Struthio camelus: one gene and its partner. The protein of the gene in region 1 purifies or fractionates together with the protein of each later gene. This does not show direct contact. Links are inferred from orthologs where the notes say so. Each region holds a gene or a part of one and is shown in the gene's direction. Other genes may lie near its edges. The genes, in order: PINX1 and TERT.

Region 1 (8,047 bases):
TGGGTGACTCTAAAGCTCTCCTTATCCTTGTCTCTCTGAGGTGTGGGCCATGTGTCTCTGGCTCTTGGCTAGAGGAAAACCTCACTACCTTGGTCACCAAGGCCACCTTCTTGGTCAGAAATAGTAATTAAGTTAGTTTGTTGAGACTTGCTCCCAGCAGGTCACGGAGGCTGTTCACCATCACCACGTTCGTCCTTCAGTGCCAAATACTGAACTGATTATGTAAGAACTTCCAACTTAAGTTCAGTATGGCCCAGCCATGAAATCTGACCACCCAAAAACCAGCTGTAACAGAAATAACATAACTGTGACTATTGAGCCTAATGTCTCAGTAGCGTCCAATTCTTTAACACTCCTTTATTCTTTAAAATACCTCCACACGAAACACAAGCTGCTAACTCCTTGACTTGCCTCTGTTTCTCTCCTTCCCCCTAAACCATTGCTGCTCTTTCATCTGCTACCTATCTCCTTTCTCTGTTTGGATAACAAACTGCTTAGAGCAGAACTTCAGTCTCACACCCCATAAAGCACAGGTTAATGAATATTAATAACAACAAAAATAGTAACAGTAATAAAAAAACACGTTGTGGTCGTGGATATAAGGAAAAATATCTGGTTTTTTGGCTGTTGTCTCTTTTGCCTACACTCCCTCCAGTGTTCCCTGCCAGGCATTGCACCCTACTGCTCAGTTGTTTGCTGGCAGCATTTCTAATAACATCACCCTCTTGCCTGGAGTCAGTTTCTGGTCCTCGCCTAGCCCTAGTAGCTGTTCTTTGAACCCTTTTGTCTCCTGGCTGCGGGCACTTGTTCTGACATCTTTTGCTCCATGGGTCAGATGTTGTTAATCTCTTGTTCTCTGCCTGGCGCTTGATGGGCAGCTTCTCTGCTCTGCTAATACAGCTTTATACCACAGCTCACATCTAATTCGCCTGTTCTTTTGAATCATTGTCCTATATCAAACCTGCCTTTTCGTTTTACGGTCTCTAGGCAGTCCTTGTCCCCCGTGCTTCCATCACACTTCTCCTAGGACTCGCTCAGTAAGCATTTCCAGTTTGGCCTCAGGCCATTATCACACAACAGAGGCTGATTTGCCTCACAAATGACCTGTTGCACAGCCAGGATTCACATCCTATTTCTTTACTTGCCTTTCTCGTCCTTTTTTGCCACTTTTCATCTTTTCTTTTCCCGGATGCTTCTCCTCTCCCTCCTCATATGTCCCTGGTTGATGAGGCATTTGAATGGGTCAGAAATGGGTGTTTTGATGGGTGCTGGTTCTTCTCCAGCTGAGCGAACTGCGATGTATTCAGGTCTAGACAATTCTTGCAGGCATCTAGTTAGTGTTAAGGGACCCAAACCCTGCCTGTGAGTGCCTGTTTCTCCTTCCATCAGCTCCAAAGGGGCTATAACATGTCTAATGTGAACAGCTGCTCACGGATCCCACTGCAGCGTCCTCAAGTGGCAAGTGACCAGTGTAGAGCTTTTTGTGCCATTAGCACACTGCTAGTATCTGTGGCTGCCTTTCTGCTGGACACGGGAATGGTCTGGTTTTGGGTAGAGAAAGGCACTGAGCCCAGCAATGTGAGAAGCTGTCACCTGCTGGATGCTCGCTCTGCTCCTGGGAGTAGTACAAGAGGGTACAAACCTCAAGGCACAAGGATCTGAGAGGGAAATGAGCCCACCGTGCAGACAACACGTACTCTGGTGGATCACCTTCAGTGATTTAAGATCACAGTGACGCTCACTCAAATGTGTGTAATGCTGCTATCTACTGGAGTGATAAGATATTACACCAGCACTCTCAGCTAAGAGACTTTAACTTCTGTAGAATGAAAAATGGAAGCAGGATTTGGCTCGTATGAAATGGCTCACCCAGGAAAGTGGCCATTAGAACTCTTAATGCACAGACGACACTACAATTTAACCGACGGATTACAGACCTCGGACAGACAAGTCATAGAAATGGCTATTACTGTGAAGAGGAGTACTTTGGTCAGGAAGCACAGGTACACGGATGACTGAGGTGAGGATACAACACCTTGTATTTCAGACACAGACACTAGGTAAAGGGTGGCCCTTGCTGAAAGTCCCTGAGTGGTAATGAAAGGGGAAGAGGATCCTGGTAGGTGACCTGGGAGCACGAGAAGGCAGACTGGGTGGCAAATGATTTTTGAGAATAAGCAGAATGACAAAGTGGGAGGTGACAAGAGATTTCATCTCGCCTGACTTCCACTAGCAAGGTTAGTACCTTGGAGGTACCAAGCAGGAGATTCAGCTTTAGCTATCAGAAGATTCAGCTGGGTATCGAAACTCCTCAGGTCAGCAGAGACAGATAGGCACCCGGAGTTCAGATTAGACGCCTGCATTGTATACAGTTAAGGGAGTAGATGGACCATGTTCTAGACTGTCCAAGCAGGTGTGTGGTGTATATGTTATCTTTTTAGAGCAGGAGATGAAGCAAACAGAAAGAAGGCTCTTCTAAGGGTTGATTCTGACCTCCAGGAATTTCCTCCTGGAGCAAAATTTTAAGTGAAAGTGACTTAAAGCTGCTATGGCACCCAGTACCTCTTCTTAGGGCAAGGGAGAGAAATCGCCAAATAAAAATTACAGATTTCAACTAGACCTCAGTAAGCTCCGAAAATTATTGGGTAAAGTCTCCTAGCAGCTTGGTCTATGAATTAATGGCAGCTAGCCATTCCTTTAGCTAACACTGATAAGAAACCAGCGCAAGCTGAAAGAAACAAGCAGAGTCAAGGCCAAGTCAGACAGACTGCATACAGACATATAGTATAAGGGATAGAATGAGAAAAGTCAAGGCACGGAATAAGCAATGAGACACATTTATATAACGCAGCAGTCAAAACAGGAAGACCAAGGGCAAGGCTGATCCACCAGAGAGCAGAGGGGGCATGACGTGATTCATCCATCCAGAAGACCATTTAGTCTTCACTAAAAGAATTAATAGCGATCAAGTAGCTAACAAAATTAGCAACAGAAACAAAGAACAAAAGATCTGTGTCTCAGGCAATAAAGGATTGGAAAGTATTTTATTTGTTTTCACAGCACTCAAGCCTGATGAATTTGGCCTGAAAACGCTTAGAGAATTGACAAAACCATCAGGTGAGAGTATGTACTGTGAGAACCTGTATAGGTTGGATGTGAGATTAGAAGACTATGAAAGGGCCAGTCTGATGCTCTTCTTTAAAGACGGAGCGGGAAGGGAAGAACTGGGGCAGTCAGGGCAGTCACTTTAAGAGGAACTGAAGTTAAACTATTGAAATAAATCAACAAACTATTTGTAAGGTTTTAGACTTGCCAAGAACAAATCATATTCAATATTTTCATTAATGACCTGAGTTATGGTACAGAGTACACATACCGCATTTGCAGGTGACTCCAAGCTGGGAAAGAGATAGCAAAGACACTGAAAGATAGGTCTGGAATTCAGAACAATATGAACAAAATGCAAACACAGTCTGGAAAAAATCAGTATTGATTCAGCAGGGGCAAAAGAGAGCATTAATCCACTGCACGAACGCAGAATGCAAAACCCCTAATTAAACAGAACTTCCCTGAAGGGTATCTGGAGGTTACAGAACAAAACATTATATTCCGATGAAAAATGCTTCAGACACAGAGGAAGCAGCCTACAACTCCAGTAAGTGCTCTGAAAAACTCAACAGCAACCCCCGTGTTATGTTTTGGGTGCTGTATTTCAAATAAGATGAGAAACAACTAGCAAGGGGCTAGAAAACATAAGACATGGACAATTAGAGGGCTCCAAAACATGACCTGCAAAGAAAGGCTGCTAAATAGGGGTGGTTTTGATTCAGCAAGTAAAGACCAAGGAAGCGAGTTGCTCAGTCTTCAAACGCCTAACAACTTGTTGCAGGAAGGAAAAAATAAATTGCTTCCGCATCTAAGGTGAGTAAGGCAAGAAGCAATGAGCTTATATTACAGCAAGGAAGATTTAGGCAGGGGAATCTCAGAATCTTGAAAATCATGAGAAGGTAATAAAGGCATAGTTTGCCTGAAGAGGCTTTGGAGGCTCTGCTTTGGATGTCTGTATGAACTAGGTACCACCACGAGCTGCCCTGACCACGCAACAAAGCTGAACTTGTCTTGGGACAAGACGATGAGCACGGGATGGCCAACGCAGCATTGTGAGGCCCCTTCCAGCTCTACAGCTCTTTGAGAAAGGAGCAAACTGAGCTAATCTGCACTCGCAAAAGCTTCTTCCCGCCTGAAGAACCTGGGCACTTTCTTCTGACATCTGCAGGGCTCAGAGCTGTTTGGAGGGCAGAGCCTCTCAGCAAGGCCCTGCAAGAGAACGACAGGAACGCAGAGCCTTAACAGAGCTTTAGGAGGGATGTGAAAGGTGAGCAAGGAAGACGGAGGGCAAGAGAACGGCCAAACAGCACGATTCGTCCTGCTTTTGACCCATTTTCTAGGTCATTTCCCCGCCCCCCGCGCCCCTCACGACGGGCTCTGCCTGTGGAGACGGCTGAACGCCCCAAACGGCCCCGCCGACCAACACCCCCCCCTCCCCCCGCGGTGAGGCGGCTTTAGCAGCTCCCCACCGTGCTCCGAGGCAGCCCGGGGCCGCCAGGCCGCCGCGCCGCCCGTGGGGGCCGCGAACACCCCCCTCGCCCTCACCGGCCGCGCTCCCGCGCTCCCGCCCTCCCGCCACGCGCGAGCGCTTCAGCTGCCCGCAGAAACGCCTGTCTCATATCCCCGGGGATATGCGCAGGAATAGCCGATATTCGACAGGCTACGCATTTTTTATTTAAGCTTTATCAGCCGGGAGGTAGGTTTACACCCTCCCTTTCCCCACGGGTGACGGCTGCTGCCGGCTGCTCCGCGGTTTTTCAAGCGGGCTCCGCTCCGGCCGCCTTTCTCTGCGCCCGAGAGAGGTGAAGGCCCCCGCCGGCCTCCGAGGCGGTGCCTCAGCGGCAGAGAGGGAGGGAGAGAGGCCCCCAAGATGGCGATGCTGGCGGAGCGTGAGTCGCTTCTCGGGGCTTCCCCGGGGGAGGAACCGCTTGGGGGCAGGGGAGACGCGATACCACTGCGGCGGGGGGTGATAGCGGGAAAAGGAGGGGAAGGAGCCGTTACGCCGGTGAGAGCTGCCCCGGCGGCCGCTGCTTTCTGCCGAGCCGGGCTCGGCTCTGAGGGGGTCGTGGCGGGAGCCGGGGGGTTGCGCTCCCTGGGCCGGTGCCCCCAAGCCGGGGATTTGGGGGGTCAGGGCTAAATTCCGCTTGGCAGGAGGAGAGAGCAGATTATAAAGGATTTTAGGCCGGTGCTTCAGTAAAGGTACCAGCTTGCGTGGATCTTTTACGTGTAGTAGATCCCCTGGACTCACTGGGAGAGCTCGTGTTCAAGGCGAGGCTGTTTCTTGTGAGCCTTTCGCATAAATGTGTTGCTGAATAAAGCACTTGTGAAGGTTTTCCATGTTGTTACAAGCTATCTGAGTGTTTTTTTCTTATTTATTTTTTTCCCTGATGCTGGAATGAAAGAGGGCTTCGCTCATATCTCGGAGATGCTTGAAGGCTTGGGCTCCCTATATCTTAACAGAGCTGATTAAAGCCTTGGGGTGAATATCCCAGTTGATAACTTCTCTTCGGGTAAAGTTCGTCTGTTCAAGACTAAGAACTTTCTTGGGGTTGGCCCAAAGTGGGAATGATGGTGTTTTGTTTTTTTCTAGAAACAAAAAACTTTTGGTACTTTATCTTCCAAATTCAAGAAGCGTTTCTGCAAAGTAGCTTTCTGTAGTAAGTTTAAAATTGCATGTAAATAGTTCAATTACACACACACAGTATTTCATTTTATTAGTGCAGAGTGCAAATGACACAAGAAGTTGTTCTAATAATAGTTATAAAATCTTCCATGAGTGCAGTTTTCTGTGTAACAGCTCTAGTATACTTCGGTGTGATTGCTAATGTCCTTAGGTGGTATTGGTAAGATTAACTGTTGTCAGGACACCTTGAAAATCAGGACAGAAGGTCTAATAAATTCATTTCCTTGACTGTGGGAAAGATGGACATAAGGATAATGACTAAATAGAAAATCTGATTTCCTTTGGGAAATACAGATTTGAATTGTTAAAAATAAAATTGCTTTTACATATATAATTTTCTGATTATTTCAGATGTAAACTTTGGTGGTACCATTTTTGAGAATTTTTTTTCTTTTTAGTTTGACCCTGCAATTTGACCCTGCAGTTTTCAATATTGTAATGCTACGTTAATGCTTCTGTACCTAGTGAAAAGCACCCTCCCCCCCCACCCCCCCCCCCCAAAAAAATGCTTTGGAAATCGATTATCTTAAAAACAAATCTAGCTACTGAGACCCACCTTCCCAGAATTGTATGTTTTTGTTTATCACTTGCAAGTGCAGTAAGGCTGTGTTACCCACTTGTATTTTTGTTTGCAATTCTGGATCAAGTTCAGATGCTCATATTGAGAAAGAGAAGGAGACATATGGGTGGGGCTTAATTGATTTTACTACATCTGTGAAAACACATGCATTTCACGAACCTAAAATAACAAATAAAGGGTAAACCCAAAACTTTGTGCTTATGTAGTTTAAATTTAAAAAGCATATTAATAGCAGAAACGGGCAAAAGGTTAGCTTTTATTTTTCACTTATTTTTAAATCAAAATTTTTAATAAACTTATTGTCTATCTTAGTGATTCTCATTTTGGGGGTAAAAAAAAAAACCCTGTATTGATGAGTTTACTAGGTTGAAATAAAAAAAAAAAATCCTATCTGTGAACTGTATCTTTTTCTTTTCCCGGTCATTGAAGACAAATTCCACCTGTTTATTATCGTCCGTGTTATCACCATATATAGACCCACAGCTCTGGCTTGGATGGGATCCCATAATCCCAGATGCTATAGAGATACGGGCAAAACTAGAAGATGGGATACTGTGTCAGAAGGATTTATGAATGAAAACATAGGATTTGGTCGTTTTGGAAACTGAACTGGGTTTACCAGAACTCGAGTGCCTCCTATCTTACTTTTGGAAAATTATGGTTTAATTCCTTGTCTGATGCACATATTTGTCTGGGCAGTTTAGCAGTTGACCTTTTCCAAATAGTGGGGCACCTGAGTTAAGAGCGAAGCAGAAGTATCTAAAGAAACGACACTTTTCTCCACTGGATGGTGCTACTTGCCCAGAATTTCATTAATATCTCTAGCATCGTTTTTCTAAGAGCAGCCCGGAACGTTGGTGTTAACTTCAGAGCTGAACTTTTTAACTGGAGGAGAGTAGGTTTTTAAAAGACCTCTGTGAGCAAACATCTCTGACAAATTTTAGGCTAAATACCTTTTTTATCATTTATTTGAAGAGGGTAGATGATTTTCTGATTAATATGTGTGACATGAGGTTGTTCCTGATTTTTCTTAAATACTTTTGATAGGTATAAGCAACTTTGTTTGGTTTCCTGCAGCTAGCTTACAGTATTTGAAAATAAGACTCTGTTAACATGACAGAAATGTGAGGATTAATCCCCTTGCAGTAGTTACAAGGTTTGAAGTATGTGGGTCAGAAGTGGTGGAAAGACAAAGATCTCTTAACATTTCAAACTTGAGAAATCTCGTCATTAAGTCTTGTGTTTTGTTACCAGGGTTTTGCTGGGAGTAAAACGTCTCAGGCCTTGTCTACAGAGAGAGATTCAGGAAAATTAATCAGAATTAACTTTTAAAGTGGATTAGCTGAAGTACATCAAACAATTCAAGTTAGAAGTTAATTTAAATTCACATGTTCAGTTGACATAGATTACCTCCACTGTGTAGACAAATCCTTAGATACACCCTGTACTTTACAACTGTGTGAATTGCATTGACTTTAATTTCTTGGGGTTTGCAACGTCACCACCTGGGGAGCTAGTTACAGAGAATGAAATAGTAGATGAGCGTACTGGGTATGTTGTTAAAGATAGATTAAAAAAAAATATTGAGCAAGTTGGTTTTAGTGACTCAGTGAAGGAGAGTTGTTGCGAATTGAGAGATTTTAAAGAAAGGGAGTGATTAAGAAATGTGATTGAAA
Region 2 (8,187 bases), on another chromosome or scaffold:
AAGTTCCTCATCTAATTTCCTCACTATTGCCACTATTGTCCTAAGCGTTCCTTCTATACTTTTATATAACACATACCATTCACATTATAGACTGCCTGGCAGGTTTCCCATTTCTGATGTTTGAAAAAGTATATTTTTTATTAACTTCTGAAAGTTGTTCATCAGACTCTTCTGACTTCGTTTTATTAGCCTATCTTTTCCTTTTTTTTTTGATTGAATATAACTTAAGGTTTCTGAAAGGCTCCTTACCTACAGTCTCACTTCTCACGAGAGGTTCCTTTTCGGCCTATTTAAAAGGAGCTTTAGAAAGAGATATACATTTACAGTACACCTGTAAAGTTGTGTCTTTAAATAGACATTACTGAGGACTGACCTAATATAAACCCAACTGTGTTAAATCAACTACATGTGGGGACAAGTACATCTCATATGTTTCAAGCAAACTATAACATCTTATTTCCTTTCACTTCACTCTGTAGAAATGGCAATTTATTTTTATCACTGCACTATAATCATGTATTTCCAAGGTAACTTCCTTTCACAAAAGCTGGTGGTAGAGCAGGATGTGGATTCGTTCTCCCCTGAAGGATAAATTTGTTGAGGAGAACTGTGACTTAATTATTCATTCAGGTCTGGGCTCACCAGTACAAGAAGACATACAGACATACTGGAGCAAGTCCAACTAAGGGCCATGAAGATCATTAAGGGACCGGAGCATCTGACATATGAGGAGATGCTGAGGAAGCTGGGATTGTTCAGCCTTGATAAGGAAATGCTCAGGGAGACCTTGTCAAAAATGTATAAATGCCTGATGTAAAGAAGACAGATCCTAATTCTTCTCAGTGGTGTCCAGTGACAGGACAAGATGCAGTGGGCACAAATTAAAATGCAGGAAATTCCAACTAAACATAAAAATATTTTTCACTCTGAGGGTGGTCAAACACTGGAACAAGTTGCCTACAGAGGTTGTGGAGCCTCCATTCTTGGAGATATTCAAAACTCAACTGGATGAGGTCCTGAGCAACTGGCTCTAGTCGACCCTGCTTTGAGCAGGGGGGTTGGATTAGAGATCTCCAGAGGCTCTTTCCAGTGTCAGCTACAGAACAGCTGTTTCTGTTATTCTATTCTTTTCTTTATTCAGCCTCCTAAAAATCAACTTATCCCCTTTTCTATGACACTTCATTCCCCCTCTCCCTCCTGGATTCTCTCCCCAGCCTAGTGGTAGGCACACAGAAAAACAGGGTAGTGCCTATGAAAAGAAACAGGAATAAAGAGATCCCCTTAGCCTGGCCACAGCAGTCCTCTTCTCTCCTCACACCCTTGATGTGGTTGTTGCCAAGAAGGCATCAGCAAGACGCACCGGTAAGGACCTACTTTGGAACCTACCACCAGCTGGCAGAAAGGGTCCAGGAAAACGACAACTAAAAGCCCTCCTCAGAAATTCGGCCTACAGCAGCACCTGCAACCCAACTATCTGCCATGAGCATATCACCAGCTTTGGGGACATGGATGTACCACCCCCAGAGCACACAGTCAAGTAGTTACAACCTCACCTGCAACCAGCACGTCCTCAGCTTTGGGTTCATCCTCCACTATCACCAAAATCCCATTACTTCCTTGTGCATTGGTGCTAGGGTTGCACCCTCTAAGAAAGTCCCACTGGTGGAAAGACCTAGACCACTGTCCACCTCTTCAACAAGACCTACAGATCAACACCTCACAGACGGTCTCCCTCACCATCATGCCCTTGGTTTCTCCAGTATCATCCCCCTGGCTGCTGGGGAGGAATCTTTTGGTGCAGTCAGGGGTCTGGTTGCTGTTTTCAAGATTTATGACTCCTTGTCCTTGCCACCGGCCCTTGATCTGGGGATACACTCAACACCCCTTCCTGTTCCTCCTCCTCTCTTCCTGAGCATGTTCCTCAGAGGAAATGGTGACTCGCTTATCTGCCACATGCCCGCCTGCATTAGACATCATCCTTGGGTTGTACCTTGAGGGTATCATCACCTCTGGAGTATCTGGGGGTGGGGGAGAGGGGAGTACATACCCACCAGAGGTCAGATCATGGATATCAACTATACTCCTGCCTGAGTGCAGCTACTGATACAGCCATGGCCAACTTCTGTCCCCTTGCCCAAGTCTGCAGTGTCTGTGCAACCTCTCCATTACAGCATTGCTGAGGTCCTTTGAAGCCTTCTAGTATTATCACTCTCCCTCCTTTGGGGGTACCCATCTGGTGCCTATCTGCATCAGGGATGCATGGCAGTCCGTGGCATGCAGGCAGTGCTGAACAAGGAGTGACACAGAAATGCCTCAATCTAAAGGCTATAAAGGTGCTAAGAAGGAGTGGACACCTCAGCCAGGATGATGAACAGGGAAGAGCTGCTTTGCTGCCTGTAAGAGATTTAATGCTTTAGAAAGAAGGTACAGCCAGTCCTCGAAGAGCAGGGGGATGCTGACCTCACTCTGAGGTCTTTGCGGTCCTCACTGAAGGAGAGGAAGGTACACTGTCCTGTCTCAGCAGGGCCACAGTTTCTACACCCCTATCCCTGCCATTGGTGAGAACTATTTGCTGTGTAGCACCACCCGTATCAGGGGCAGCACTGTCCCTGGCCACAGGGCCACTAACTTCACCTAATGAAACACCTAATGAAACAACCTTCTCCACACTGGGAGCTGCCAGGTGAGTCCTCATAAGGGCCAGGTACTCTTCAGTCTTTGGGAAGGGGAGAACACTATCATGTTGCTGCAGGAGATTTCACAGCAATCCAGCCAGGAAGCCTAACTAGAAGACAGTCACCTCACGTCACTAATGTATCTGGTAGACTGCTGACTCTGTCCTGCCTAGACCTTTGCTCAAAGGGGCTGATTTGGGATTTGCTGAACTTGTGCCACGTGGCCTGCTACCCATCTCTGTCCATGTGGAGGGAGCAGTTGTTAATATTAACACCTACAGCCCACTGGGCCAAGAGCATAGCTTTAACAGCAGACGTGTCTTGGCAGTCAGAGTCCCAGAGTCTCTTTTGCATGGCAGGGATCGGTATGACAGAGTAGCTGGAGCAGGAGAGTCGGAGGTGAAAAGGATCTTGGCATTCTATCCCTTTGCAGCACGTTTTGAGAGAAGCGTGATGAACTCCAGCTCCTGGAAGACCGCTGGGCTCAGGGCACCTTTGGTCACATATCCAACTGCTTCAGGAGATGGATTGTGGCATGCAGCATTTAACCTTCCTCACCAAGTTATCCCTCTTCCCCTTTCCAGCCTACCTTCTCATGGCTCATATAGAAGCTGTTCCATACTTTTGGTCCCTGAGCCCTTTCTAACTCTAGTACATCTTTTCTGAGAAGTAGAGGCCAGAATCGCACAACCGCACTCAAGCTGTCGCAAACCATGGATTTATGCAATGGCATAATGATGTCCTCTTGCTGTTCTTTATTCCTTCCCCAATCATTCCTAATACTTGACTTGTTTTACTGGCTGCTGCTGCGCATAAAGCTGATTTTTTCATGGAACTGTTATAACCTCAGGGTCTCAATCCTGAGTGGTACTAATCACCCCAGAGCCCATAATTTTATATATGAAACTAAGAATGTATTTCACCTCTATGCCACACTTGACATTTATCAGCATTAAATTTCAACTGCCATGTAATTGCTCAATCATTCAGTCTTATAATGTTCTTCTGCAAGTTTATACTCTGCTTGTGTCCTTGCTGCTTTGGATAACTTCATCCAATCAGCAAATTTTGCCATTTACTGATTACTTACAATACTTCTGAGTCATTTATGAAAGTTATACAGTGCAAACTAATGTGGATCTCTGGTGGTGGCCTTCCTTATTGAAAGAACTGACCATTTATTTCTACCTTTGTTTCTTATCCATATCAGCACATTCCTTCTTTCATTTTTCTATTCATAACATTTCCTTACAAAGGCTTTTGGAAATTCAAGCAGACTATATCAACTATATTATCATAATCTTCATGTCTTCTCAAGCATCCATAGAACCCCAGGAGGTTTTTAAGGCAGAACTTCTTTTTGCAGAAGCCATGTTGACTGAGCAGCTTGTATTTCTCCCAGCATCTAGTAATTTTATGTTCTGTTATTATTTCTACTAATTTACCCCAAAAAACCATCAGGTTTACAGGCCTGTAGTTCCCCAGAACCCCATTCAAACCCTTTTTAAAAGTCTGGCATCAAATTTGCCAGCATGCAGTCTTCAGGTATCAAGGAAATGTTTGAGTAAGAACAACACTACTTACTAGTGATTTGGCTGCTTCATTCCTGAATTTGATAAGACTCCCAGGACCAGCAAGTTGGTTATGTGTTAGGATTTACTCTGCTCATCTGCACCATAACCTCTTCTACAGTTACTTAATTTCAGATAGATCGTCTACTGTGTCCCCATCCTAAAAGGGATTCTGTGATGGGAATCTTCCTCATTTCTTCCATGGGAAACTTACCTTAGTAAACCAGCAAGACTCTCTCAAAACTTTCTTCAGCACCTCTCGTGACAGTATTTCAGGCTATCCCAGGCAACCTGGAAACGCACAGCACGAATTAGCCAGATGCTACAAAGCTGTCCGAAAATAAAAGCCTAAATGCCTGGTCAAAAGTCATGCCACGAGTTTGAGGTAACTGGTGCTAGTGCTCCACCTCACAATGCACCTTTAACCATAGGCCCTTGCTTCCTGCTTTCTGCACCAACTTCTGCTACTTTGGAAACTGCACGAGTCTTTAAGGACTCTCGGTCTCACAAGGGGGAAAATGAGTGCGATAACACGAGTTTATGGCCCAGAAGGAGAGCAACCATGGCGTGAAAGCATCCCCCCATCCCGCGGGCTTGCGCCTTCCGCGCACTCGGCCCTCCTCGTGGCTCACTCTCAGCCCCAGGAGGTGCCTTGGCCCCCTCACCCCAGCCCGCCTTCCTCGGGTCACTAGACGGCGCTGGAGGAGGTGAGGAGCTGCGGGGCTGGACAGCGGCCTCCCGCCCGGCCCGGCCCGGCCCGCCGCCCATCACCTCTGCGCAGCCTCGGAGGCCGCGCGGGGGGCCTGCGGCACCTGGCCGCAGCAGCTGCGGGGTGTTTGTGCGAGCGCGGTTTTTTTTTTTTTTGCTTTTTGGGTTGGTTTTTTTTTTAGCAATAAGGTTTTTTTTTTTTTTAAAGAAGCAACAGCCCCTCACAGCTTCCTGCAGTGCTTCAGCCAGCGGCTGAAGCGTAAGCGCGACGGGGGAGGAGGTGAGGGAGGAAGGCGCGGGGCCGCCTCAGGTGGCGGCGTGCTCCATCGCCACAACATGGCGGGCGCGGGGCCGTTCGCGGCGGCGCTGGCCGCCCTGCGGGGCTGCTACGCCGAGACCGCCCCGCTGGAGACCTTCATCCAGCGGCTGCGGGACAGCGGCGCCGGCGAGGCCGAGGTGCTGCGGGCCGACGACGCCCCGTGCTACCGGACCTTCGTGGCGCAGTGCGTGGTGTGCGTCCCCCGCGGAGCCCGCTCCATCCCGCGGCCCTTCACCTTCCAGCAGGTAGGAGGGCGCGGGGAGGGGGGGTGGGAGGGGGAGGCAGCCGTTGCCCGCTTGCGCAGCGGCACCTGCGTTGCAGCCCTCCCCACCGAGCAGAAGCCGCCCGCCCGCCCGCGCGGGCAGCCTCGCCCGCACCAACGGTCAGCGCCGGCCGTTGGTGGCCGTTGCCCCCCGTCGCTGCCTGCCGCCTCGCTGGCGTGCGGCCGCGGGAGAGGGCTCCTGGGGCTGCCGCCCTCCGCGGTGCCGCGGCTCGTCATGCTTTTCCTGTCCTCCATGCGTGTGTGTGCGCAGCGGGCGGCCACGCTTGTCTCCTCGTGGCTCTGCCTCCTGGCTGCGCCTGCTCGCTTGGTCGTCTCCTTTGGTCCCCTTGCTCTTCTTCGCCTCAGAATGAAGTTTGGTTTATGGAAGTTAAATTTTTCTCTAGCCTGCGTGGGGCTTATCCCCCTTTCCCCTCCCTCTAGGGGGTGAACGGGCAAAATCTTAGTGTCTGCTGGCCCGTGGTTAGATAAGCCGAAAGATTTGTGTGTCTGGGACTCCCTGACTTTGTGCTTGGTCTGTGGGGAAGCATTTAACACCCCTTCCCCCTCCAAAATGTCTGGGGAGCAATTAGAAATGAAAAAACACCATTTTACCTCTGTTAGAGGATAGAGAAGAAGAGAGAAAGAATTATTTTCCAATCCTTTTTTAAGCAGAAAAAACTCTTCCAAGAGGAATAAGACGAGTTTCTCTTGGAGCTATTGTGCGCCTGAGCAAAGTTGTGCTACTGCACAAAACGAATGTTGCAAGCTTATGGAGTATTTTTTAAAAACGTGAGCTGAAATACTCACTAGAAGTTGTTTATTTTACATTAGCACTTGGAGGTCCCCAGAAAGGCAGTGTTAGATCCCTGCTGTGGTATGGTCTGCGCATGTGCGTAGCGTGGGGCAGAGTGACCTGAAAGCCTTGGAGTCTGGACTGCTGAGAAAGATGAGAGGAGTAGCATAGGGTGTTCCCTTGGCATGAAAACCAGGATCAAAGGAGCAGAAGTTAAAAAGACTTCCCTAAAGTCATAGTCTCTGGTTGATGATTTTATTTTTTTAATCCTGTGATATGTTTGAAAATCTTTTTTCTAATAGGGCACTGTTGCCTCATTAATATTGCTTTGAAAAGCTTTAATCTAAAGCTCAAGGCTAGAACTCTGTATGTTGCATGTCTGTTCATTTAAAGGGTATGTTGTGGCGTTTGGAAGAGTCCATAAAAAGTAATTCTCCTTTTTTCTTTCTTTCTTCAGTTATCTAGTCAGAGTGAAGTCATCACAAGAGTTATTCAGAGGCTATGTGAAAAAAGAAAGAAGAATATCCTTGCGTATGGATATTCCTTACTGGATGAAAACAGTTCTCACTTCCGAATCATGCCGTCTTCAAATATATGCAGCTACCTACCCAATACCGCAACAGAAACTCTTCGTATCAGTGGCCTATGGGAAACATTACTGAGCAGGATAGGGGATGATGTGATGATGTATTTATTAGAACACTGTGCAATCTTTATGCTGGTTCCCCCTAGTAGTTGCTATCAAGTTTGTGGGCAACCCATTTATGAACTTATTTCAAATAATGTAGAATCGTCTCCAGTGTTTGTTAAACAAAGATATTCAAAGCATAGACGTAATATCTTGTTTGACTATATGCAAAAGAGGCTTATGTTTCATAAAGAGTATCTTTCAAAATCTCACTGGTGGAAATGTAAACGAAGACTTGCAGTTCAAGTCTCCAGCAAGGGAAATCAAAAAAATAACAAAATACAAAGCTTAGGATCCAGTTTGGCATATTCGTCTAAAGATGATTTTAAAGCAAGCAAACAGATCAGAATGGTAACTGAACATCTGGAAAATCAGATTAGCCCAGGTTTATCTTCATCAGCTACAGCCCTGTCCTTGAAAAGGAAGCTTGATAGGGAACAACTTAAAATTACAGCTAAGAGAGCAAAAGTAGAGGAGGAAACACCAGAGAAAGAGGCTTGGAATCACAGTCCTGGCATAAACCAAAGTAGTTCCACGAGGTATGGAACTGAGTACATCGCATCACATTCTGTAAATCTTACTGAAGAAAAGTACGCTGCTAGAGGAAGTGACAGTGATATGCCTGGCCCTTCTTTACTTCGCAAATCTTATGATGGGAAGGAGAAAGCTGTCGCAGATGAGAGTGCGTTTCTGCAAGGAGTTCAAAGTAACAGACCTGTTAAGTCCAACATGGAAATGCAAGCAGAATCAAATAGAAAGGGCATAGAGATGCATATGTATAAATCTCAGGTGGATTCTGTACAAATGAAACCAAGGGAAGGTATTTCTTCAAAATACAGAAGGCTGGAAAGTCCCGTAGATCTTTTGGGAAAGAAATTGCCAAATACAATCTTGCGTTCTGGAGTATACATTGAGAGGAAGTCTCTTCTGTACTCTCGCTGGAGTTTCAAAGAATGTTTTCCTAAATCGTTTTTATTGAATCGCTTGAAGGGTTGTCAGGCAGGTGGAAAACGGCTTGTAGAAACTATATTCTTAAGCCAAAATCTGTTGGAGCAGAAACGCAATCAAAATCTGTCACATCACAACTGGAGAAAGAAAAGGTTGCCCAAACGCTACTGGCAGATGAGAAATATATTTCAGAAACTGGTAAAGAACCATGGAAAGTGCCCTT

The links.
Region 2: the proteins of PINX1 (region 1) and TERT purify together in Homo sapiens (co-immunoprecipitation; 3 studies listed by BioGRID and IntAct, with this or other methods). This does not show direct contact. The link is inferred for Struthio camelus from reciprocal best matches to the Homo sapiens genes PINX1 and TERT.

The regions. Positions count from the first base shown.
Region 1 is NC_090944.1:10,529,700-10,537,746, reverse strand, and holds the start of PINX1 (PIN2/TERF1-interacting telomerase inhibitor 1), read left to right. Parts: upstream 1-4,886; 5' UTR 4,887-4,978; coding exon 4,979-4,997; intron 4,998-8,047. UniProt on the Homo sapiens protein: Microtubule-binding protein essential for faithful chromosome segregation. Mediates TRF1 and TERT accumulation in nucleolus and enhances TRF1 binding to telomeres. Inhibits telomerase activity. May inhibit cell proliferation and act as tumor suppressor.
Region 2 is NC_090943.1:71,164,486-71,172,672, reverse strand, and holds the start of TERT (telomerase reverse transcriptase), read left to right. Parts: upstream 1-4,933; 5' UTR 4,934-5,290; coding exon 5,291-5,518; intron 5,519-6,785; coding exon 6,786-8,187. UniProt on the Homo sapiens protein: Telomerase is a ribonucleoprotein enzyme essential for the replication of chromosome termini in most eukaryotes. Active in progenitor and cancer cells. Inactive, or very low activity, in normal somatic cells.